Linked DNA regions of Caenorhabditis elegans. The protein of the gene in region 4 interacts with the protein of the main gene of each other region in a pairwise test. Each region holds a gene or a part of one and is shown on either strand. Other genes may lie near its edges. The genes, in order: F49E2.2, chc-1, cpg-3 and sas-4.

Region 1 (7,684 bases), on a different chromosome or scaffold from region 4:
CGATATCCTCAAATAAGTGTGCTCTCTCATAAACATGTCAAAAAATGGTGGCTGGCCTTTTGTGTGTTCAATCTGAAATTGAACGATGAACGACAAGTGAACTTTCAGAATTTTCTTATATTTTCTTATCTCTTTCTCTGATTTCTGAAGCTCATTTGCACAATATGTTTAAGAATACCTCTTGAATTTTTAGTCTGACTGCTTCTCTTTTTTGTTCGGGCGTCAACGTGAGTATTGGTTCGGCATGTTCTCGTAATGGAACAGTTAGTTGTTTTACAATTTCTTCTGTTGACGACTTGACCCGTGACCATTGAAATAACTTTTTTCCTGCTCGACAACTCATCTGTAATATTTATATCAAAACACTTTTAAAAATGCGGTGCGATTAATTTATTGATTAGGAATTGAGAAAAAAAACAAAACCTAGAGAAAAGGTGTAAAGTAAACTCCAAGCAGCACATTGTGGCTCTCACGCTCAAACATAAATCGTGGGCGTTGAAACCATAGAAAATGCAAAACGGAACAACGGGAATGTTTTGTCATCATACAGGTTGATGGGCACTCTACTCTGCATTGGTGATTTGCAATTCAATTCCGAAAAGTGATTTTTGTGTCGACGAAGGAGAAAACGAACGTGTTGCAGAGAACAAAAAGAAAAAGAGGGATAGAGGCTCAGGAATTTTGGACTTTATATATCAGGAAATGTATTTTTAATGAAAATGAAATATCATGATTCGGTCTAACGATTTGAAAAACTCAGTAACTTTTGAATGTCAATAAAAAATTTTTATTCCAGCTGTTGAAAAGTGTTACTATTCTATTTGATCATTTTGGCATTTTATGGATAATTTTTAACAATTTTCTTACTGTCGCTACTCCACCTTAATTAATTTCTGATGCAAGTTATTAATTTCTGATGCAAGTTATCAATGTCTGATTTTCAAATGGTTCGTGAAAATAAATCGAGGTTTTATCATTATCTTTTAATCAATATGATTCTGACGCTAGAAACACAATATTTCTGGAAGAGACAACAACATTGTTTGTCAAAAGATAAACAAGCGAATATATTTCAGAACATTTGTGTGCTCTTGACTATCATTTCCTCATAGTTTCTAAATCAGAAGGAGTGTTGCCATTATGAGTAAGTTAAATACCGTGTCCCAAAAATATAGTGTACTCATAAACCCCTTTTTTTAAAGTTGTCACGTCCTCCAAGTGTCCCATCTTCCAAACATCTCTATTTCTCTCTGTCTTTCTTTCTGACGTGTCTTTTTAACTCTTTTGGTGACCCCTGTAATTTGTACATTGTATAATAAAGCATAGACTATTTGAGACAGAGAGAGCGATGTGAAAAGGGCACTTGATACAACGTAAAAAAAATTGTTACAGCTGGCATCTTCAATCTGGGCGCTCGACGATCTTCGCTGATTGGGATGAAACTATGGAGATGGAGAGGTGAGGATTTTTGGGGTAAAAATATTCAATCAATTTAAGTGACTCATACAAACACAAAAAAATCATGTTATCAAAATCCATTCAATAATAAAATTGCAAAAAATAAATACGGAATGTTCCAATCTGCCTCCCTCATTCCCATCCCATTCCATTCTTTTGTTCTGTTTGTCCTGGTTTTCATCGAAATATTGATAAACTCCAATGGAATCTGCAACTGACGAGTTTTACTACCAATCTCGCATTCCACCACAGCCATCCCCTTTACCAGCTCAAACTCTTGAAATTAACGGTCACAAATATGTTCTCAATCATCGTTTCAAGAGTATCAAGATTGGTAAGTATGGTTATACGTCCGAGTGATTGGCAAACGACCTCGGGATACATACGTTTTGTTAGCCGGATAGTTACGACGTGTTTTTTTGGAGGGAGAAGACGAACGGAATAGAAAACTTAGACATTAGTCATGCTTGTCAGTTGTGTCGCGCGTCTCTTTGTGCCAAAAAACTTCGCCACATGTTAAAAGGTTGGTCAACTTTTGTTTGTATCGAGGGAAATACTGAACTTAAATGCAACATTAATATTTTCATAGAATAAAATGTAAGTATTAGTTTCAAAAAGTTACATTTTAAAGCTTTATAATTTGCAGCTCAATTTATATTTTCAAATATCTCTGAGAAGCATGTGAAAATATAACTTTCATTTTGAGGTGTTCGTAACATTATATAAGTTCTCGTCTTCTGAACACTACCTAGAAATTTAATATATTGTTGGAATTGGAGTTGGAAATGTTGGAAATCATGTGGGGATGCCCGAATGTAGGTGTCCCTGTAAGACAAAACTAGGCAAATCAATAAACACGATTTTTTAAGTGATAATGTGTATGTATTGTAGCTTTTACTTGTGAATTAATTTCATAAGCAACTTAACTTAACTGTGCTAGTGGTATTTTTTGTTTAGTTACATTTTCCTAACAATGATACACTTATTTTGATTGAGCAAGATGCTCAACATATTTCTACTGTCTTTGATGTTTCACATGTATAACGCAAATTTTGAACATACATGTTCAAAAAATCATTATTTACTCACTTATTAACAACATTGGTATGACAATGTAATTTAAATTGCGGTATATTAAATCAATAATTTTTTATGGTTTAAAATAAGTTTTGAGTTTTGACTACTTCTCTAAATTTTGAATAAATTACAAAACGAGTTACTTGTAAAGATGCCGATCAACTTTTGTAGCACAATAATTAAAGTTGTCCTGTACTTTATTCATAGCTTTATTTAATTCTAAACAAATTTTATTTTACTTCACGGGTCAGTGTTCAGAATTGAAACAATTAAAACAAACTAGAGTTCAATGTTTTACTAATAACACTCACTATCAGGTTTCTTTACAAGCTTAAACGATGCGTTTTTTATATTTTTATATTATTTAATTTCAAATTATTCAAATGTTGTTCAAAAAGTTGCATACGGCTTGTCATTTTTTTTTGTCAGATGTCACCATTCTCTGTTGTCACGCTCTTAAAATTGATAGTGTCAAAATGTCAACAGTATTTCTTCACACAATCAGAATAGTCGCTTCAGAATGGCACAAAAACTTAAAGTAGGCGGCGATTTTTGGTTTTGTTTCACACTCTCCCAATCTGCCAGGTTTCTCGCCGCTTGGCGCCGATGCCCGGGTAATGTACATAATCAAACGCACGCAGCATACCAAAGTCGGGGCTCTTATCACTTGCACAACGCTTTTTCAATAGGTGCCTGCCGCACTGCGTCGTTTCATGAACTTGGTTGTACGCTCGCCTCATTTTCTTATAGAGTGTACACTGTTTTAGGCGTTTTGCCGGCATAATGGCCATTATTTTACTCCAAAAATGAAATATTTTTTGTTTCATTCCTTTCTTATGACACATGTTGCGGTGATAACCATAATCGTTATGATGGAAAGTGGAATTCAGGAATGTTGGCAAACAAAATGACTTTATAACACTATTTCTTCAAAAAATATAGATATTTGTGTTTTATTGATTTAGGTTCACCGTCTTAGGGTTTTTTTAAGTTCTATAACTTGTTTAGTTGTATATTTTTTATAATATTTAGTGTCGCATGCCTTTAGCAATTAACAATATCAATAAAGAAAGTTTCTCGGATGGCAAAAGCGTTATCTACAACAGACCAACCCTGCCCATAAAATATTATAAAACTTTTCCCGCAAAAGTAGTGCATTACTTATGAAAATTGAATGTCAAACAGTTTGCAAAAAGTTGGTTTTCAGTCTCTCATCGGTATCCACCAATCATCCCGATGTCGGTCGACGAACAAGCGGTACCACCGGAGGTTTCGCCTTCAATGGCTGCCAACATTCCACAGATGGTCCACGATCAGCTAGCCGCACAGTTTTTGCCAGGTACCTCTTGTTTAGGTTAACATACACAACAAAATTTCAGCGGCAAAAAATCTTGGGCAAGCCGGAATGCATCTACTGAAAACATATTACAGTAAGTATTTTTGATCAGAAAACAATAAGTTCTCTTACACAGTATTCTTTCTATGCTTTTGTTGTATTTTAAAAAACCTGAGAATGCCTAAATTGTGGCTCGAAAATAGCGGCAACAGGGAAAACAATCGGCGAAGAAAGATATAGGTTCCTTCGCTACGAGATATTCCCGCGCCAAAACGGTAGGCACTCTCATGATCTCATGGTTTCTTAATATTGTAAGAGATGAGAAGTAAAAAAAATTAGAAAACGTTACTGCAAAAAGTTGGCAAATATACGTTGAAAGTATTATAGTTATCATGGTCGGGACGGTTTGTAACAATGGCTCAATAATGTGAATAAAATATACTCAGCTCATCCCATTTCTGTGTTAATAATTTGTTTATAACTCAATTCAGTTTGTATCGCAACACATGAAAACATGTGTAGTTGAAAGACGCATTCATAGAACTCGAGTTTTATATTTTCATAGTTTGTGCCTAAAAATTCAATGACAAAAACTATATTTTTTGTGAGAGTGGAAATTGAAACATTTTCGTTTGCAATCCATATCAATGTAGGTCAAGAAAAATAGCTTTTCAATAATCACATCAAGTTTTCAAGATGACAAGAGTATATAAAAATTTGCAATTTTCAGTGTTCCAAGAAGCATTGTCAAACTATTGTGATGCCACTCACAAACTTATCAAATCAGCTGATACTGCTGGACACAAATCGAAAAATGAAGCTCGAGAGCTTTCAAAAGTTTTTAAAGAGTTTGTACAGGGAGTAAATGCTCATCAAAAAGTCGTAAGCATCAATCTAAAGAAAAGTTTCGCATTCAATATATAATTAAACATAGATTACGGAATTTGACGCGCTGGCACACAAAGTTCATGACTATAGCAACAAGGAAAAAGACAAGCTGAAGACAGAATTTGCTGAGTACAAAGCAAAAGAAAAAAAACTTCTGAAACGCAAAAATGGAGAAACTGAACAAGATATTACCGCGTTCCATAAAAAAGAAGCAGCCAGCTGGGCAAAACAACAGGAAATGAGATACAAATTTTTCAATGACAAGCTGCAATCCTGGATTCACGGGTGAGTTAAATGTAATTAGAATTGTGAAAATAGCAACATTAATTCAATTTCTGGAAAAAAAAACTCTCATAAAATATTATCAGATACGTCGAAATTGGGAAATTATTCCAAGCCCAAGAAGTGATTGTTCAGCCAGCAGTTGGGAGTGTGATCGCTGCACCGGTTGAAATTGAGACCATACCAGAAGACCACAAAGATTGGCATCAAGATTTACATGAGCATGCCGCCGTTGTTGCAGCTGAGGAAATTAAAGAGAATGTTGAAAAGGTAAAACACAATTTAATGCGTGTATATCATATTAAATTTCAGAAAGTAGATGAAGCTGTACAGGACAGCCGCAGCAATTCGACTTCATCGGTTGCAACAACGCTAGAGGATCTTCCATCTTCTCGTCGTCTCACAAATGACGTTTCCGGAGTCACACTGGTTAGTAATTATCGCCGTCAATCAATTGAGGTTAGTTGAGGACTAATATGTCATGTGAAGAAATGTTTCAAAGTTGTTATAAGTCAATATTGTGTATAAACAATAGGTCATAGTTACATTAAATCACGTACATAAAACTTATAATACATACGTTTCATTTTGTATTAAAAAAAAAGAACACTCACATTTTCAAAGTTTATTACTATGTGTAAGCCATCGGACTAGTTGTAGGATACTTAAAATTTGAACTGTTGAAGCAAGGAGGTATTCAAAATTTCTCCTATTTTGAAAAATTCGCATCTGCAATAACACTATTTTTTAATGTTTGTATAATGTCCGCATGTGCTATTAAATTATCTAGGATAAAAATCAATAAAAAACGCAACATTTTGAATTTTAATTTAGATTAAAATCAGTTTATTTATTCATAGTTAAGCCTGCATGAACTTTCAATCAGCAACACAGTGTTTTCAAAATTTAACAATAGAATTCAAAAATGTTTGTAAACATCGAAGCAAAAGTCTTTAATCGAAAAAAGAAATATTAGCATCGTTTTGTCAATTAGATTTTATTGAGTTTTCACTTTGGTTTTGAAATCTTGGCAATCTTTCTATCACGTTTTAGAAATGTTACGCGAATTTTAAAAGGCTGACTGAAGAACAACTATTTTCACGTGTTACATAATTATCAAAATTTTTTCGTAACAACTTCACGTGTTTGTTTAATGGTAGAATAGCGACGTATGAATAGTTGCTCTATTTGACTCAAAATTACCTCACATAACATTACTATATTTTATTTAATCTTTCACATAAAGTTTTTATCAAAGATTTGAACTGCAGTAAAAACATTTCATATTCTTATTATGTATTCACAACGTGCCCCGAATTAAAATACCATGCATTGGTTTTTACAAACAGTAAATGCAACTGGTTTATTTCGAAGAAAAATTTAATTGCCGTATTAATTTCAGATTCAACAACTTCCACCCAACAACAGCTACTCCCACATTGCTCCACCAGTCTTGCCGCCAAAACCAGTTGTCGAAAACCCCCAATATGCTCCGATTCGCGCTCAACCAGTTCCAGTCACACGCCAGGAGGAGAGCACATACGCCCCTCGTCATAATGTTGTCGCCGAGGTAAGCATCTGGTGTAATCATCTTTTCACTCGCTATTATTTGTCCATTTTGATAAAACTATGCGTTTCCAGCAAGTGCCTCAACAGCCGGTTAATAGCGCTCCAGGTGGTGTCCGCCGTGCTGGAAACACAATTCCAGGTGCTGTTAATGTTTTCGGATTTGCAAATCAATCAAATCCTCAGCCAAATGTCCGCTACACGCCTGTTCAGGTAAAAACTATTCGTGTAATTTTCAATTTTCAAGTGTGATAATCCTTCAGAATAGCACGCCTTATCAAGTTGTTACCAGCGATTATATTCGCGTTGGGAGAGTCGTCGATAATCCAGTGACAGAGGAGCAAATGAATGCTAAAAAGTGAGTACTCACAAGAAATTTGAAAAAAAGAACGACATATTCAGATTCCACGTGGATTCTAGTTACCTTCCAATGGCTGCTCCATCTCACCAAGCACAACAACACAGTCGCAATCATAGTACAGATATTTCGGTTCCATCATTCTTCAACCCATCACAATATGGAAGTATTCTGATTGTTAACGATGATTTCAATGCTTCTTCCGGAGAACAGATGACTGTGAATCGTGGAGACAAGGTACCAAAAACTTTCTAAATAATTTTGAAAAATTAAACTAAAACTTGTTACTTTTTGTGACGTCAAGAAGAAAACAAAAAGAATATAAAACTTTCAAGCAAAACGGCAAACCGATAAAATTTCTAACAACAGACCGGTGCCCTAAAAAAGTGGTAACATTTGCCTGTATCAATATTTTAATTTGACACTATTATAGGATTTGAAAGCCTACATGAGTAGAGTTTCATGAATGTTTTTTTTAATCAAAATCAATTTAAGGTTATTAATTTTTTATCAAAAAAATCTTAGCATTGGTTCGAGATATTTAATTTATGGAATTCGTTTTTACATTCAAACAAGTCCTTACTGAACATTTGTCTAACAGGCTCTTTGTAATATTTAGTATTGAATTAGAGAATACTTGCAAAACATAGTGTAGTTGAAAACTATGTTGATGTTGTTCTTTGTTAGATATTTTGAAACATGCATTAGTCACCTCCACA
Region 2 (7,940 bases), 1.9 Mb from region 4:
AGATCATGGGGATTTTACTGTAAAAAAGTCAAACTTTTAAATATATTTCATATCAATTTTCAGAATCCTAACCACTTGTTCCATGTATGCTGTGAGGAACGACAGTTGCCTCCCGCATGTGTTCAGAAATGCCATTTTAATGTTTATAACAAAGGAGTGGTAGGTTTAAATAGGTCAAGTTTATATTGTGAAATTGAATTTCAAAAATTGTATAGCTGGAATCAATGTTCTTTGGTTCAAGTGAATGCCCGATTGAATTCCTGCCAGAAATGCAATTTTGTGCGGCTCAAGGAAAAGATCATAGCCAGGTAAAAGGTCGTTGAAATCTGCTCAATAACTTCTTACTAGTTTCAGTGTTGCTCACAAAGTCAGGTGGATGCAACGACGGCTGGAAGTAAATGTCTAACCTTCTGCGATCAAACACCCGATCTCTACACTCCAATTGATTACAGCTATGCGCCTTGCCTAGACAGGTTTCCATATCTTTTTATCTTCCAATTCTCGAGGCAAAAGTCATGTTGAATTAAATTGGTTGCAGGTTCGAGGACATGAAACGATGCTTCTATGATAATGTGAAGTCGGATGCAATCACACATTTCGAGGCGAAAAAGAGTTTGCAGGATAAGAGTACATCTTATTAATTGTTTTTGATTTTATATTTACTTAACTTGAGATTTCGAAATAAAATGTGCGATTTCGCAATACCCATCACGACATACTTTGTATTTCATTTTCCATTAAAGCGGAACTATTACACATTTGCGAATTTCTGTGGCAATTGCATAAAAAAACCGGTACCGGGTCTCGACACGAAAGATTCTCTTAAATGCAAAAAGTGTGATCTTCGGTCCGTGGAGTACTGTAACTTCCAGCAGGGCTAATACAAGAGAATTTGAACAGAAAACAATACATAACATTTTTATTCAAAAATGCCAAAAAATTATAATACAATTCAATTTTGAAAACAGTTTTTCGTTGTATTTTGGACCAAAAAAATCGGTTTTTTTTTGCGCAACGTTGTTGGATTCTCAACGTGTTTTATCTCAGTTTTTCCTTGAATTTCGGTAAAACAGAACAAAAAATGAAATGTTCAAAAAAAGTGTTCCAAACTACAGTACTCCTTAAAGGCGCGCACACTTTTAAATCAAAGAAAATTGGTCGTGTCGAGACCCCGTACTGTATTTTTTGTGTAAAACTCGAAAAATTTCCGTGTATGAGTGATCTACTGATTGAAATTGAGAAAACAAAGTTTATCCGCAGATCAAATTTGTTTTTTTTTTCTTTTCAATATTTCACGGCAATCATTTCTTAATCCAAACACGTAATTCACTGTCGTAATTGCTGATGACTCATTCATTTCATACGAACGCTTTTCTTTTGTCAATCCTTCGGCCGTACAAACATAAATTTTTCCTTGTGAAATTAAAAACTCCGCCCAAAGCGAAGAAAATTCCCAGAAGAAATTCGGCGGAAAAGCGCGCTCTACCGAGAAGCGGGGCGCGTCGCGTCGCGTGCCCTGTGATGACAGGGCGACTTGTTCAAGCTTGGCAAACAGGAATCATTTCTCTCGATCAACTGGCTTCTGCATGTTTGACAAAGCTCTCTCTTGATAAGACATTTCCGTTCAATTGTTTTATTTTTACGTTTTCCCTCTTTTTAGGTGCGCTATGAGTCCTCAAAAATTTTTCTTTACTCAGCAAAGAGTTCTAACTTTTGGAATTACAATTTTTCCTTCATTTCAAATCATTCACAGTAATAACAGCGGCCAAAGCTAGCTTTAAAGCTGTATATTTTTCCATTTATTCCTTCAATCTACCGATATTCACTTCTATTTCCCGGAAATGTCTCACTTTTGTGATAAATTTTACGTGACTCATCTTTTTATTTTTATCGTGTTCTCTTTTCTTTTTTTTTCAAACATCTCCATTTGCAGGTATATAATTTATTGTAAGAAGTTTTTCCATTCTACACACAGTTTTCAAAGATGGCGCTCCCAATCAAATTTCACGAGCACCTGCAGCTTCCGAATGCTGGAATTCGGGTGCCCAACATTACATTCTCCAATGTCACAATGGAATCTGATAAGAACATTGTTGTTCGTGAGATGGTAGGTCAAATAATCGCAATTAACTGTTCTAAACGGATAATTTCCAGATTGGTGATCAACAACAGGTTGTGATTATTGATTTGGCCGACACAGCGAATCCAACTCGTCGTCCAATTTCTGCTGACTCAGTAATCATGCACCCAACTGCCAAAATTCTTGCTTTGAAATGTTAGTTTTCAGTACCATTTGACTCTGAAGCTTATTTATACCTTTTTTCAGCTGGCAAGACACTTCAAATTTTCAATATTGAGTTGAAAGCAAAAGTGAAAGCTCATCAGAATGTAGAAGATGTAGTTTATTGGAAGTGGATCAGTGAGAAAACGATTGCACTCGTTTCCGACACAGCCGTCTATCATTGGTCGATCGAGGGTGATGCAGCTCCAGTCAAGATGTTCGATAGACATCAGTCGTTGGCCGGAACTCAAATCATAAATTATCGCGCTGATGCCGAAAACAAGTGGCTCGTTCTTATTGGAATTTCCGCAAAAGACTCCCGTGTCGTTGGAAGTATGCAATTGTACAGTACCGAGAGAAAAGTATCGCAGCCAATCGAAGGCCATGCCGCTTGCTTCGTTCGATTCAAGGTAGGACTAATTCGATGATGGATTTGTCATATTAATAATGTTTTAGGTCGATGGAAACCAAAACCCATCTAACTTATTCTGTTTTTCCGTCAAAACCGATAATGGAGGAAAATTGCACGTTATTGAAGTAGGAACCCCAGCTGCTGGAAACACTCCTTTCCAAAAGAAGAATGTTGATGTTCCATATACCGCTGACACAGCTGGCGATTTTCCAGTGTCTATGCAGGTATGTTGCTTATAGTCGTATAAACAAAATTTGATATCTTTCTGATTGATTGTTTATAATTTCAAAAGCTGAATGGTGTTGTTTATAAAATAAATTGTTGGTTTTCAGGTATCTGCGAAGCAAGGAATTATTTACCTGGTAACAAAGCAAGGATATGTTCATCTTTATGATGTCGAGTCTGGAACACGGATTTATTCGAATCGAATTTCGACTGATACCGTATTTGTGACCTGTGAATACACAGCTACAGGAGGAATAATGGGAATTAACAGAAAGGGACAAGTTCTTTCCGTCTCTATCGATGAAGCTAACTTGGTTCCGTTCGTTACGAACCAGCTGCAAAATCCAGATTTGGCTTTGAAGTTGGCCGTGCGTTGTGATCTGCCTGGAGCTGAAGAGTTGTTCGTTCGCAAATTCAACTTGTTGTTCAGCAACGGACAGTTTGGAGAATCAGCCAAGGTTGCTGCATCGGCTCCACAAGGAATTTTGAGAACACCAGCCACCATTCAAAAGTTCCAGCAGTGCCCGTCTACTGGTCCAGGACCATCTCCACTTCTTCAATATTTCGGAATTCTTCTCGATCAAGGAAAGTTGAATAAATACGAAACACTCGAGCTGTGTCGTCCGGTCTTGGCACAAGGAAGAAAGGAGTTGATAACGAAGTGGCTCAATGATCAGAAGTTGGAGTGTTGTGAAGAATTGGGAGATCTCATTAAGCCGCACGATGTGAATACTGCTCTTTCAGTCTATTTGCGTGGAAATGTCCCGCACAAGGTTGTTCAATCTTTTGCTGAAACTGGACAATTCGACAAGATCGTAATGTATGCCAAGCGTGTCGGATTCCAACCAGACTATTTGTTCCAACTTCGTCAAATTCTCCGTAATTCGAATCCTGATCATGGAGCAAAATTCGCTCAACTTCTTGTCTCTGAGAGCGAAAACGGAGAACCACTTGCTGATCTTTCACAGGTAACGAATGAGAATAAGGATTTGGCTAATTTAAACCTTTTCAGATCATTGACTGTTTCATGGAGGTTCAAGCTGTTCAACCATGCACTTCATTCCTTCTCGAAGTTTTGAAGGGTGATAAGCCGGAGGAAGGACATCTGCAAACGAGACTTCTTGAAATGAATCTGCTCGCTGCCCCAGCTGTTGCCGATGCTATTCTAGCCAACAAGATGTTCTCTCACTACGATCGTGCCGCTATCGGACAACTCTGCGAAAAGGCTGGACTTCTTCAAAGAGCTCTCGAACACTTCACTGACCTCTACGACATTAAGCGAACTGTTGTTCACACCCATCTTCTCAAGCCTGATGTGAGTTTCTAATTAGATTTCTAAAATAAATGCTAATTTATTTTCAGTGGCTCGTTGGATATTTCGGAAGCCTTTCTGTTGAAGATTCGGTCGAATGCTTGAAAGCCATGCTCACTCAGAATATCCGACAGAACCTCCAAGTCGTTGTGCAGATTGCATCCAAGTATCATGAACAGCTCGGAGCTGACAAGCTGATTGAGATGTTCGAAAATCACAAGTCATACGAAGGTCTTTTCTACTTCCTTGGTTCGATTGTCAACTTCAGCCAGGACCCAGAAGTTCACTTCAAGTACATTCAAGCTGCCACGCGCACAGGGCAAATTAAAGAGGTTGAGCGTATCTGTAGAGAGTCGCAATGTTATGATGCCGAACGTGTCAAGAATTTCCTTAAGGAAGCCAAGCTCAACGATCAACTTCCTTTGATCATTGTCTGCGATCGTCATAACATGGTTCATGATCTTGTTCTTTACCTGTACAGAAACCAGCTCCAGAAGTACATTGAAGTCTTTGTTCAAAAGGTTAATGCCGCCCGTCTTCCGATCGTTGTTGGTGCTCTTCTAGATGTTGATTGTAGTGAAGATGCTATCAAACAATTGATCATTAACACTCGTGGAAAGTTTGACATTGATGAGCTTGTCGAGGAAGTTGAGAAACGCAATCGTTTGAAGCTTTTGAATCACTGGCTTGAATCGAAAATCCAGGAGGGAGCGACTGATGCTGCTACCCACAATGCGATGGCCAAGATTTACATAGATTCTAACAACAATCCCGAACGATTCTTGAAGGAAAATCCCTACTACGATAGCAAAGTTGTTGGAAAGTACTGCGAAAAGCGTGATCCTCACTACGCCTTCTTGTCATACGAACGCGGACAGTGCGACGCTGAATTGATCAACGTGTGCAACGAGAATTCACTATTCAAGAATCTTGCAAGATATTTGGTGAAGAGAAGAGACTTCACTCTGTGGGAGCAAGTTCTCAACGAAGAGAATGTTCATCGTAGACAGCTGATAGATCAAGTGGTTCAAACTGCTCTTTCCGAAACTCAAGATCCCGAAGACATCTCTGTGACTGTTAAGGCATTCATGGCTGCCGATTTGCCGAACGAACTTATTGAACTTTTGGAAAAGATTGTTCTCGATAACTCTGCATTCTCGGAGCACCGTAATCTTCAAAATCTGCTCATTTTGACTGCAATGAGAGTAAGTTAATTATTTTAGAAAACATATTCGATCAATCCACTTTCAGGCCGATAGAACTCGTGTGATGGAGTACATTCAAAAGCTTGACAACTATGATGCTCCAGATATTGCTAACATTGCTATAACTTCTGAACTCTACGAAGAAGCGTTTGCCATTTTCAAGAAATTCGATGTGAACTCAAGTGCCATCAATGTTCTTATCGAGAACGTGAACAATTTGGATCGTGCTTACGAATTTGCTGAAAAGTGCAACCAGTCAGATGTCTGGGCATCTTTAGCCAAGGCACAGCTCCAACAAAATTTGGTGAAGGAGGCTGTCGATTCGTTTATCAAGGCCGATGATCCAGGAGCGTACATGGAGGTTGTGAACAAATGTTCTCAAACGGAGCACTGGGAAGATCTTGTTCGTTACCTTCAAATGGCTCGCAAGAAGAGTCGTGAGTCATACATCGAAACGGAACTCGTTTTTGCTCTGGCCAAGACTGGTCGTCTCACTGAACTTGAAGAGTTTATCGCTGGACCAAATCACGCTCAAATCGGACAAATTGGAGATCGTTGCTTTGACAATGGAATGTTCGATTCCGCTAAGATCCTTTTCAACAATGTTTCCAACTTCGCCAAACTTTCCGTTACTCTTGTTCGTCTTGGAGAATATCAAGGAGCTGTCGATGCTGCACGCAAAGCCAACAGCACGAAGACATGGAAACAAGTGTGCTTCTCTTGTGTCGAGAATGGAGAGTTCCGGCTTGCCCAGATGTGTGGACTTCACATCGTTGTCCACGCTGATGAGCTTGAGGAATTGATCAACTTCTACCAAGATCGTGGACATTTCGAAGAGCTCATTGCTCTTCTCGAAGCTGCATTGGGTCTTGAACGGGCTCACATGGGAATGTTCACCGAACTCGCGATTTTGTACTCGAAGTATAAGCCAGAGAAGATGCGTGAGCATTTGGAATTGTTCTGGAGCCGTGTTAATATTCCAAAAGTTCTTCGTGCTGCCGAGCAGGCTCATCTTTGGTCCGAGTTGGTGTTCTTGTACGATAAATACGAAGAATATGATAACGCCGCACTGACAATGATGCAGCATCCAACTGAATCTTGGAGAGAGCAACATTTCAAGGAAGTCATCGCTAAAGTCGCTAATGTTGAGCTATACTACAAAGCAATGCAGTTCTACCTGGATTATAAGCCACTTCTCCTGAATGACCTTCTTACTGTGCTATCGCCTCGGTTGGATCATTCGCGCACAGTTTTGTTCTTCAATAAGCGTAAGTTTAAATTTCGTTTAGTTTTTAAACTTTTAATAACAATAATTTTCAGTGAAGCAAATCCCACTGGTCAAGCCTTACTTGAGACAAGTTCAAAACTTGAACAACAAGGCTATCAACGAGGCTTTGAATCAGTTGCTCATTGATGAGGAGGATCACGCCGGGCTTCGTTCTTCTATTGAGGCTCAAGACAACTTTGACAATATCACTTTGGCCCAACAACTTGAGAAGCACCCACTTGTGGAATTCAGAAGAATTTCCGCATACTTGTTCAAGGGAAACAACAGATGGAAGCAATCGATCGAGCTTTGCAAAAAAGACAAGCTGTACAAGGATGCCATGGAATACGCTGCAGAATCGAGAAACGGAGAACTCGCCGAAGAGCTCTTGTCATTCTTCCTGGATGAGAAACTTTATGATTGTTTTGCCGCCTCCCTTTACCATTGTTATGATCTCCTTCACCCCGATGTCATCATGGAGCTCGCTTGGAAGCATAAGATTATGGATTACGCCATGCCTTACATGATCCAAGTTATGAGAGATTATCAGACGAGACTTGAGAAGTTGGAGCGTTCTGAGCATGAGAGGAAAGAGGAGAAGGCTGAGCAGCAACAAAACAATGGAATGACCAGTGAGTTTTAACAAATATTTAGAATTTAAATTTATTTGATATTTTCAGTGGAACCACAACTTATGCTTACCTATGGTGCCCCTGCCCCACAAATGACTTATCCAGGAACAACTGGTGGCTATGGCGGACAGCCTGCTTACGGTCAACCTGGACAACCAGGATATAATGCCCCTGGATTTATGTAATTCGATAGTTTTATCCCCATTTTCTTACCCCCACCCCCTCACTTTCTCCCCGCATCAATAATTATATTGTAATTTATTGCTTGATGTCTATACACTTTTTTTGTTTAAATTATGATATTCTATTTCTATTTATTCCGTCCCCTATGAAATTGTGATGGTTGTATTCTAATCCGTGAACTTATCCTTAAGGTTGTTGGTCCGATGTGTCGTCTCTCTCAGTTCTGCCCGTTTTCAAAAAAAAGTTGATCACAACTCTTTTAAACCACCAGAACCATCATGAATAAATTAATTCGTTGTTACCAATCGCGTTCGAGTTTCGGATGAAATACTGGTTCAGTCCATCATCATAACATTTTAGTTTTACGATTTTAACTTTTTGTATTATTCACTAGCTGAATTTTTTAAATTGAGATCTAGAATA
Region 3 (3,550 bases), on a different chromosome or scaffold from region 4:
TCCAGGAATCACAAGACGATCTGTTGCATCAATTACTTCTGTATCTGGTAGAGCAGTTATATTTGGAGATACTTCTCTGAAATCGTTTTTTTTTTCAAAAATTATTTGGTAGAATCAACTTATTGGCGGATTTCGATTGGGGGGTTTTTTTTTAAATTAAGACCTCTACTAACTAACTTATGTCTCAAATGTTTAGTATATTGCCAAATATTCAAAAAGAAATTGGGGTTTTCACAAGAAATTTGTAGCAAAGAGCAAACGTCTACAGTGTTCTGAAACAAATAATTAAATCATAATTGAAATTAAAAATCGTAGAACACTTTTCAGTTGAATACCAAAATTATGATAGATGAAAACTTAGATATTAGAAAGAAATTGATACTTTTTTAGATTAAAAATTCAAGAATAGTTTCTAAAAAATGTTGAAAAGTTTTCCTATTTGAGCGTTATAGGAATAATCATTTTCCTCAGAGGCGCAAATCCATCTTCAAGAAAGAGATACCTAGATAAACTGAATTACAGTATATTTATTTTATCACTATCACCTAATTAATTTAACTACTTAACTTAACTACAGTTTTTACACGCATTCTTCTTGTTTGAACTTACACAATAATTCCATTTCTAACAAGAACATCAGCTTTAAACATTCCATCTTCATTGACGACAGTTCCATTCTTGATAACAAGTGGTGGGGACATTTCCGAATCTCTTAAATTAGACAAAAAATGAATTTTCTTGACGAAACACAAAAAACTTTGAAAATGAAAAAAGAAATCTTGATTTTGGGTGGAAGGAGGAGACTGATTGATAATAATAGTTGTGATAAGAAAGATAAAAGAAGAAGACGTACCCGGGGCGTGTGATGATAACGTACCCAGATTGATATAGACGATGTTAAAATCACGTTTCTTTAATCGGAAGTGAGAAGAAACCATATGGCATGATTGAAGATGGTACGGTTAGTCTGTCCAGTTTTTGTTCAAAGTTTTAGAAATTATTTGGTAAATTAGACTAATTGACAAACAACAACTGAAATATTCGCCGATTGTGATGACTTGTTGAGAAAGATGTGTGATCAACGTGCTGGAGTCTTCACAATGAGCATGTTCTACACATATGCCATCCGTGCCGCTCTTTTCTATTTAAAGCTTAAGCTTCAATGTCTGAACGAGAATGGAAATGAGGATGCTCTGACAAAGGTCCCTTTCCTGACAAAGAAAACTAAATAGCTCTGTATTTCAATTTTTCTTTCCTACAAAGAATCTTTTACTGTCTCGATTGTTTATTGAAAGCATCCGTTGCACTTCAAACTCAATACTTCAAAATTCGTGAAATTTGAAGTATTAACTTTGAAGTTGTAATTAAACCTTTCCACTCCCAAATCCAAGATAATCGTTTTCAAAAGAAAATTTTATTCAAGGTAGAATTATATATGAAAATATCCCCTTTTTGGTCTCGCCACGAGTTTCTTCAAATTTCAAATGAAGCCTGCTAGACAGTCTGCGCCTTTAAGAAGTACCGTAGTTTCCATGGATCGTTGTTTCGCAATTGTTATGGCTTATTTTCCCGTTTTTTCTTTATTCTTCATAACTTCATGGTATTTTTTAACACAATTAGTTGACCAAAAATAAAGAAAAAACGAGAAAAAATAGATTCAACATGAACTGAATAAATATTTAAATTTAAATTAATTTTCACCGTTTCATCTTCACAGTATGAAATTCTAGAATTCGAATACTATGTTTAAAAATTATTTCGGAACGTATTTTTTATTTCTATGTAGAAAATACCGTACTAGACCTGTATGACTAACAAATTTCTTACTAATTTTCAGTTTGATCTACCCCGCTTAATGAGCGAATTTTGGTTGTTATTGTTTTCAATGATTTCGATTTTTACTTCACAATCGCATTCCAACAAATCAGTCTTCACTAAAGATGCGTTTTGTGTTCATCATTGCTTTGCTGCTCATTGGAGGTTTGTTTTTCACTTGTATTTTGAAATTAAATTAATTGTAACAAATTGCAGCATCTCTCGCTCACCCAGCCGATCCGATCCGTGCCAAACGTGATGTTTCCGCCAGTGAAGATGAGTTCAGCGGAGATTCATCTGGAGAAATTTCTGGCGAGAGTTCTGGTGAAGCATCTGGTGAAGCCTCGGGAGAAGCATCTGGTGAAGCCTCGGGAGAAGCATCTGGCGAATCATCTGGTGAAACTTCCGGCGAGAGTTCAGGAGATGAGGAAACTTCCGGCGAAGGATCTGGTGAAGAAGGATCCGGTGATACATCACCAGTCGTTCCTGTCGACGAACTCACTCTTCAACAGTTGGAGACACTCAACACGTATGCTCAACAAGTTCAAGCTGAATCACAGAAGCTCATTCACCAAGCTAACTTCGTCATCACTGAGGTTAGTTTCTCGACCCCTTTTAATTCAATATTTTAAATCTTTCAGATGACTGCTCTCTCTGCTAACGCTCAAAACCTCGGAATCCTCTCGAACATCGTGCTTGCCAACTCTCAGATGGTTCTCGACAGTGCTCGTCTTTCACTCAATGAAACTGAAACCGAAACCGGAACATCTGCACCAGCTACTTGCGTCTCATCTGCTGTCTGCTATGGAGATTCTGGATGTGGAAGTGGAAAATGCATTGGAGCTCTTGCCGGAACTTGCAACTGTAACTCCTGTGTCTTTGGATGGCCGTAAGTTTTCAATTTATTTCGCAGCAGATTTTAAAATATTATTATTTCAGATGCCAAGAGGACAGTGCTTGCGGAGGATTCAACGGTGCTTGCAACAGCATTACCGCTACTTGCGATTGTTTTGCTGCCTACACCAAGAACAATCTCACTCTGGCCGAAGCCCTCACTTCGTTCTGCAACGTGGAGACGTGCAATGGAGCCGAAGACAATGTCGAGAAGTGCCACGGATTGCCATGCAACTATGGATTCTGTGTTTGCTAATTGACCCCATCTTATCGGCTTTTTTTTATTTTGCCCAAATATATTGCACACAAGTTTACGGAATGAATAAAAATTTCATGATTCTAATTAACTTCAACATTTGAAATGAAAAAAATCAAAAAATCACTTGGAAAATAATTGGAACAGTTCTGGTTCGTCCATAACCGTCGTGTTCTCGATTTGTTCTGACATTCGGATCAGTTCCATCAAATTCGATGGTTTATGAGAATTTATTAATGGCCATTCAGGAGGTGGCTTTAGGTATACTCCATTCTTCGAAAGCATATGAGATCGATCAGATGAGAGCAAGGATATGTAGTTTTCTCCTGGAATTACACGAAATTTTCTGAAAATAATTATTCAAACTGAAGAAAAAGTGTTAAAGTGTAGCAACCTTCTGAATTTAGTGTCACGCTGAGCCATTTCTGCGAGATTCATAGTTTTTTCCCAATATTCTAAGAAATCACAACTCCATTCGAGTGTAGAATCCAAATCGTAGACTTTTGACCCGTTTTTTTCCTTTTCAATAGCAATGACGTGATAATCCCAGAGAACATGACCACTGTAAAAATAAATTATGAAATC
Region 4 (6,542 bases):
ATTTTACAAATAGTTATCTGCAAGTATCTACCCATTGACATCCTTATTTAACTCATTTCTTCTTTTTTCTTCTTACAATAATAATAATGTGTTCAGGATGGTCACAGTGATACCAAAAATAATAAGTTCTCCATATCCTCGGACACGCCTACCACTGTACCTCTACACTGTTTCCATCGTAAGAATTACCAATCAATAGAAAATTCAAGTTTACACCTATAATTCTAGATTATTTCCTGCTCTTTATTATACTGGAATCTTCTTTACTGCAAAAATTATGACTGTGTCGTTGAGAAGGAATTTCGATGGGGAAGTACTCGGCACTTACTACAGGTATCATACAATTTGGTACCATAAAGAAATGACATAACTTTCAGTACTTTCCGGTGATAGCAGCTCCGATTATAATGGTAATATCGTTTTCTTGGTTAATAATTGCAATATATTATTCAAGTAGTTCATGTGTTCTTACATTCAATTTTATGGTAAGTTTTATAGGAAGGAGGAATAAAATAAATATTGAAATTAAAGGAAATGCCATCTGCAGTACTTTGTTCTCTACTTGGTGGTATTAGTTCTGTAATAGAAATTCATTTTTCCATTGAAGTAAATCAAGTTCAATGGACTGATCAGTGGTTACTGTCATCTGTGGGTTTACCAATCAACGATTGTTTAAAAATCGATATTTTCAGGGATCTTCAATACTTTTATGCCTTTTACATGCTACAATTGCGTTCACACTTCAATAATCCTTCCAACATATTTGAATTTCCAATCTTCTTCAAATCGATGTGAAAAAACTTGTATCATTGTTTTTATCAAATATGAAACATTTTATAGGAATCAAAAATATTATGTGAACTGTGATATTTACTCTTGCTCAATTCATTTCATGTAAATATTATTTTGATACTCATTACTGGCATAAATTATATTTTCGAAATTCATGTCACGAGCGCGGATGATGAGGGACAATTCGAATTAATTCTCTTTTTCTCAACAAAAACAATTAAATTTTGAACCTCCCTCCGTTTTCTTTGAAAATGGCCTAGAATTGTGATGGCCGTGGACTAGCATTTTCCCTAGCACGACGGCGGGAATTGTCTGCGTCATCTTCGTCTTGCACGCTCTCTCGTTACCCCCCGCTGTGGTTATTATACCGTTTACCACCTTAATCCCTTCAAAACGCTTTTATAATTTCACATAATCTCTTCTTAGAAATCTCAATCGTTTATTCAGATGGGAAATCGATCAAAGACAGACAATGCAACTGCCGTGGCATCGCAACCACCCAAAAAAGTTAAATCGTAAGTTTTCTTTCCTATTTTCAAAACTAATATATCTGAAATCATCAACATTTTTAGGAAAAAGCAAAAGAAAATGAGCTTTTCACAAGCACAAGACGTATATCTTCGTCTGAAGCAAGAAAAAGAAGAGGAGAAACAACGAGAGCGAGCCGAACGAGAAAAGCGAAATGAGACGATTGCAGCGACAAATAAATCAAGAAAGAAGATGAATCAGGCATTGGCAAAAAGAAATAAAAAAGGACAACCAAATCTGAATGCTCAAATGGATGTACTTCTCGAGAGGATACAGAAAAGAGTGGATAAGGAGAAAAAGGAGAAGAAATGAACTAATTGTTTTGTCTTTTATATTTTCAGATTTTTTTTGTTGAAATGAAATTGTTGTGTTTTTAAAAATCGATAGTTTTATCGTTTCTTCGTTTCTTACCGATAGTATACTTTATTTTCTGAAATATAATTCAATTATTTATTAAAAACCTTTTCAGCCTTCAGATGGCTTCCGATGAAAATATCGGTGCCGACGGTGAACAGAAGCCTTCTCGGCCGTTTTTGAGAAAAGGACAAGGAACAGCAAGATTTAGAATGGTAGTTTGTGCAAATACAAGGCTTATCGAAATAATATATGAAGTTCAGCCTAGAAACAACAAAACATCTGCTGGTGCACCTCCAACGTCGGAACTTTCATCTGCTTCAAGTCCTTCTATTAATGTTCCTAGGTTTAGTCTGTCGGTAAGTAAAATATCTTAAATACAAACGTTATAAAACTGTGGTGACTAGTTAAATATAAATATTAAGTAGAATTATTCCAGAATGCTCTCCCGAACTCTGCCCGAACCGTGGACAGTGGAATATCAAATGAAGACGAGACCCGTCCACCAACCACCGCATCTCTTCCAATGGATCAACCATCATTGTCATCTTCGCCGGAAAATCGTCTAAATCCCGCACCTTCCGTTGCTGAAGAGCATGGCCACAGTGGACAGCACGCTGAAGAAGAAGAAGACAATGACACGGATGAAGTATCTGCAATGCCTTCTTTTGTGCCTGATGAACCTTCGACTCTTGTTAATTCAGATCATGAATTGTCTGATGATGCTTTAAAGTATAAAAATGCAGCTGCCGAATTCAAAGCTTTTGAGAGAAGAATGGATTCGGTAAGAACAGCCAAATCAGAATGATAATTGAAATTTTACATAGAATAGATTTACGTATCAAAAATCAAAACCTACGAATACTCTCTAATTCAAAATTTAATTAATTAAAATTAAAGATGAGATCAGCTTCAACAATCACAACATCACTGGCAACGCCATCATCTTGTGCACCATCAAACTCCTCTGAGCCTCCTACTCGGTCTACACCAATTATGAACGATTTAGGCGTTGGCCCAAATAATCACAATTGGCCGTCTTCAATGCAAGAATTATCAGGAATTTCTCTGGAAACACCACAGGCTCGACCGCTTGGCAGCAATAGAATTAATCAGCTTGGTAGGTTAATAACAAAAAAAACATGATTGATTAGATTTTTAGTTCGAAGTGAGGCTCAAACGGGAATAAGCCTTTTACAACACCATGAAAGACCTACTGTGACCGCCCCATTGAGACGAAATGATATGATGAACTCATCACGACAGAATCCACAGAATGGAAATGTTCAAGATGAAAATCGACCCGAGCACGTTTATGATCAACCAATACATGTTCCTGGATCATCACTGGACCGACAGAAACTTGAAATTGAAATTCGACGTCATCGTAACTTGAACATACAACTGAGAGACACTATTGCTCACTTGGATTATGCAGAAGAATCCGTGCACACCACAAAACGACAGCTCGAAGAAAAAATTTCCGAAGTCAATAATTTTAAGAAAGAACTGATAGAAGAATTTAAGAAATGCAAAAAAGGAGTTGAGGAAGAATTTGAGAAGAAGTTTGAGAAAATTAAGGAAGATTATGATGAACTTTACGAGAAATTGAAGAGGGATCAACGAGATCTTGAACGAGATCAGAAGATATTGAAGAAAGGAACGGGAGAAAGGAATAAAGAATTCACAGAAACGGTAATTAAGAATTTAAGCAAGAAATAGTTATTCGAGAAAAACCACGAAATTTCGATTGAAAATTTTTCTCAAAGCAAAATCTAAAATTTTCATTGAAATAAATTGAGAATTTAAAAAGTTGAAATTCTATTATAAAACCTTTAATTTAAAATCCAGCAAAACTTGTCAAATTTCAGATAGCCACTCTCCGCGACAAATTAAGAGCATCAGAAACCAAGAATGCACAATATCGACAGGATATACGTGTTCGAGACGAAAAGCTCAAGAAAAAAGACGAGGAAATCGAGAAGCTTCAGAAAGACGGAAACCGGCTAAAGAGCACTCTACAGACTTTAGAAAAGCGCGTAAAACAATTACGTACTGAAAAAGAACGCGACGATAAAGAAAAGGAGATGTTCGCGAAGGTTGCAATGAATCGAAAAACTTCGAATCCAGTGCCACCAGTTTTGAATCAAAGTGTTCCAATTTCGATAACATCAAATGGTCCATCTAGACATCCATCATCATCTTCGTTGACAACATTTAGAAAACCATCTACATCAAATCGAGAAAGAGGTGTTAGTTGGGCAGATGAACCAAATGAACAATCATTGGAAGCTGTACCACAGGAGTTTTTGATGGTAATATTTAGATCAAAGCAGGGTTTTTTTAAAATTGTTTTTAGAATATTGCTCTGAAAAAATCAATTCAAAAAAAATTTCAAATTATTTTTTCTTCCCGACTAAAAAATTAATATTTTTGAAAAATAGTTTTTTAAGTCTAAAAATTTACAGCTTACTATTAGCATTTGCCGAAAGTTCCGATTTTTCAAAATTCCCAGAATTAAAAATCAATAGTTTTCGAGTTACCGAAAATTGTCAAAAAAAAATTTTAAATCATGCTTTTTGAAGATGCCAGTCAAAGAAATGCCGGGAAAATTTGGAAAATGCACGATCTACAGAGATTCTCTTGGAGAAACATCTAAAGTGACGGATACAATAGCTAACGGTCTTCTTTTCGAATATTCCAATGGAGATCTTCGATGGGTTAATCGGCAGAACGCTGTTAATGTAAGTTTTAATTGGAATTTTGTCAATTAAAGTGACCAATTTACAGATCTACATATCCGCAGTTGATAAAACAGTCAGAATTGATCTCCCCACATACAATATTTCAATTATTCATACATTTCAAAGGCAAGTTGAAGTACTTCGTCCTGGAAATAACATAACATTGATAAGTATTAAACGACGAGAAGTTCGAACTGATTTGATTTATCAAAACGGAATGTATAAAACTGAAATGTAAGATTATTTTCTTTTTTAAAGTTCATCGGAAATTTCGTATTTCAGCTTCAATAGGGACGGAAGATATGTTACGAAGGATTTTAGCAATCAAGAAGTTTCGAGAAAGTGAGTCTCTATTCATTTTCCAATTAATTATTCAGAAAAACCATTAAAATCTCAAAACTATTACCCAGATGTTTAATTTAATTTAATTTAATTTATTACGATAGAAGATATCGTTAGGTAGAAAAAAAAACACACACACATTAATAGATACAAACCATCACAAGTGGTTACATAAATAAATTACATAAATAAAACGAAACAAAAATAAAAAAAGAGATGTGACATTTTGCGGCAAAAAATGTCTCGGCACGATAAAATTTAGTTAAATGGGAAAAGGCGTGCGCCTTTAAATATTACTGTAGTTTAAAAATCGCGTTACTGTCGAATTGTTGTTTGCCCCTTTTTTTTTTGATAAAAACATGTTTATTAGTTTAGAAAAAAGATAAATAAACCAAACTACAACAGTCTTTATAGGCGCACGTATTTTCACATTTAAAAATCTGTCCTTTAACGAAAAAATTGTAAAATTTGGCGCCTTCAAAGAGTACTGTAATTTCAAACTCAATTTGAAACAGAATTTTCATCGATTTTCCTTAGTTAGTTTTTCGATGAATTTTAATTTATTCATTAAAAAAACTCAAATAAGTATAACGATATTTTAGCAAATAATATATTTTCAAACAAAACATGTTTCTATAATTTTTGTCTAACCCAAAATTTAGGAATATGACCTCAATTCTTCAAAAAGTTAGTAAAACAGGTTTAAAACCCCGTTATAAATATTTTTGCCTCTGAAACCTATCAAATTTTCAGATACAATCCCGGTACACACACATATCGCGACAATCAATGTCGCTACGTTCTCGTCACTGATTACAACGATTTTGAGCTCGTTGAGCCAGAATTCCGTCTTCGTTGGTATCAGGGAGATCCGACTGGTCTCAACAATCAGTATATTCTCAAGATCATTGGACGACCTGAATGCAGCGAGAAAACATTGAGACTTGAAGTGAATCTTTCCACGTGTGAAGGTACATTGGAAACTGCAGAGATGATAGGCGATAAACGTCGGAAAACAACTTTGTTCCAGTGGAAAAAATGAGAAATTCCAACCCCTTTATTTTAACTTGTGGTTTGTATATCTATTCCATTGACATTATTTTTCACTCCTGAGTGCTCTAAAATTATAATTAATTCTACCTCCTGTAAAATCATATCAAATAATTCAATCATTTTTTACTATCTCAATTTTCACTTGCCCCCTCCCCCATTTCTTTCATATTGATCTTCATGGTTATTTTATTGACTGTTATAAACAATTTTAACTTTAAATGTTCTGCACAAAATTCGGGATTCAGATTGCAAAGATTTATTGGAACACTGGAGACATTTCAAGATGATCTCGGATCTTCTGCACGACTCGACGGACTCAAACTTTGAACATTTTCGTGTGAGATTTTCTTTTCTTTTTCCGCACTTTTCTTCTCTTTCTTCTCCTCACCACTTCCATCTTTCTTCTGATCATCTACATCCAGGAGCAGCATCTTGTGACGTGTAATCTTTAGATCACTGAGACGAGTTTTCGAATCGCCGACTTCAAGAGGAGCCTACAATCATCCTTATCTTTTTATATTCAGAATATCAAAAAACTAACCGGGTCACCTCGACCAGAAAACTCGCCTTCGCCTTCTTCACTCGATGATTTCTGAGTTCTCAGAGTAATCATATGGGTCTTACCGCTGACACCAAGAAGCGTGTAGAGTCGAGCCATCAGATCGTCTGAACGATATAATTGTTTAAAAATCTTAGATTCTTAAGCTTACGATAAGTGGCATCCGTTGG

The links.
Region 1: the proteins of sas-4 (region 4) and F49E2.2 interact in a two-hybrid assay, tested with the Caenorhabditis elegans proteins (one large-scale study listed by BioGRID).
Region 2: the proteins of sas-4 (region 4) and chc-1 interact in a two-hybrid assay, tested with the Caenorhabditis elegans proteins (one large-scale study listed by BioGRID).
Region 3: the proteins of sas-4 (region 4) and cpg-3 interact in a two-hybrid assay, tested with the Caenorhabditis elegans proteins (one large-scale study listed by BioGRID).

What each region holds. Positions count from the first base shown.
Region 1 is NC_003284.9:9,565,637-9,573,320, forward strand, and holds the start of F49E2.2 (SH3 domain-containing protein), read left to right. Parts: upstream 1-1,659; coding exon 1,660-1,792; intron 1,793-3,146; exon of another isoform or gene 3,147-3,271; intron 3,272-3,399; exon of another isoform or gene 3,400-3,420; intron 3,421-3,742; coding exon 3,743-3,874; intron 3,875-3,914; coding exon 3,915-3,965; intron 3,966-4,601; coding exon 4,602-4,753; intron 4,754-4,805; coding exon 4,806-5,044; intron 5,045-5,127; coding exon 5,128-5,311; intron 5,312-5,353; coding exon 5,354-5,500; intron 5,501-6,443; coding exon 6,444-6,611; intron 6,612-6,682; coding exon 6,683-6,820; intron 6,821-6,870; coding exon 6,871-6,965; intron 6,966-7,009; coding exon 7,010-7,202; intron 7,203-7,684. Other genes in the region: moc-5 (GTP 3',8-cyclase), read right to left, coding at 1-72, 179-343.
Region 2 is NC_003281.10:10,201,888-10,209,827, forward strand, and holds chc-1 (putative clathrin heavy chain 1), read left to right. Parts: upstream 1-1,933; 5' UTR 1,934-1,984; coding exon 1,985-2,107; intron 2,108-2,154; coding exon 2,155-2,275; intron 2,276-2,326; coding exon 2,327-2,691; intron 2,692-2,737; coding exon 2,738-2,917; intron 2,918-3,025; coding exon 3,026-3,886; intron 3,887-3,930; coding exon 3,931-4,233; intron 4,234-4,280; coding exon 4,281-5,435; intron 5,436-5,481; coding exon 5,482-6,703; intron 6,704-6,755; coding exon 6,756-7,334; intron 7,335-7,382; coding exon 7,383-7,519; 3' UTR 7,520-7,817; downstream 7,818-7,940. Other genes in the region: dbd-12 (DB domain-containing protein), read left to right, coding at 64-159, 216-308, 355-473, 539-641. UniProt on the Caenorhabditis elegans protein: Clathrin is the major protein of the polyhedral coat of coated pits and vesicles. May play a role in yolk protein clatherin-mediated endocytosis by oocytes during oogenesis.
Region 3 is NC_003279.8:7,243,053-7,246,602, forward strand, and holds cpg-3 (Chondroitin proteoglycan 3), read left to right. Parts: upstream 1-1,913; 5' UTR 1,914-1,940; coding exon 1,941-1,980; intron 1,981-2,031; coding exon 2,032-2,411; intron 2,412-2,456; coding exon 2,457-2,704; intron 2,705-2,754; coding exon 2,755-2,965; 3' UTR 2,966-3,050; downstream 3,051-3,550. Other genes in the region: dhp-1 (Dihydropyrimidinase 1), read right to left, coding at 1-76, 610-701; R06C7.6 (Protein N-terminal glutamine amidohydrolase), read right to left, coding at 3,089-3,311, 3,360-3,527.
Region 4 is NC_003281.10:8,313,836-8,320,377, reverse strand, and holds sas-4 (Spindle assembly abnormal protein 4), read left to right. Parts: upstream 1-1,789; 5' UTR 1,790-1,796; coding exon 1,797-1,889; intron 1,890-1,937; coding exon 1,938-2,033; intron 2,034-2,113; coding exon 2,114-2,458; intron 2,459-2,574; coding exon 2,575-2,794; intron 2,795-2,836; coding exon 2,837-3,369; intron 3,370-3,545; coding exon 3,546-3,989; intron 3,990-4,259; coding exon 4,260-4,418; intron 4,419-4,464; coding exon 4,465-4,652; intron 4,653-4,700; coding exon 4,701-4,760; intron 4,761-5,513; coding exon 5,514-5,802; 3' UTR 5,803-6,029; downstream 6,030-6,542. Other genes in the region: F10E9.10 (uncharacterized protein), read left to right, coding at 98-178, 229-333, 378-485, 532-648, 693-749; F10E9.11 (rRNA-processing protein FYV7), read left to right, coding at 1,240-1,307, 1,365-1,632; F10E9.2 (uncharacterized protein), read right to left, coding at 6,092-6,307, 6,355-6,479, 6,524-6,542. UniProt on the Caenorhabditis elegans protein: Required for centrosome duplication. Plays a central role in determining centrosome size.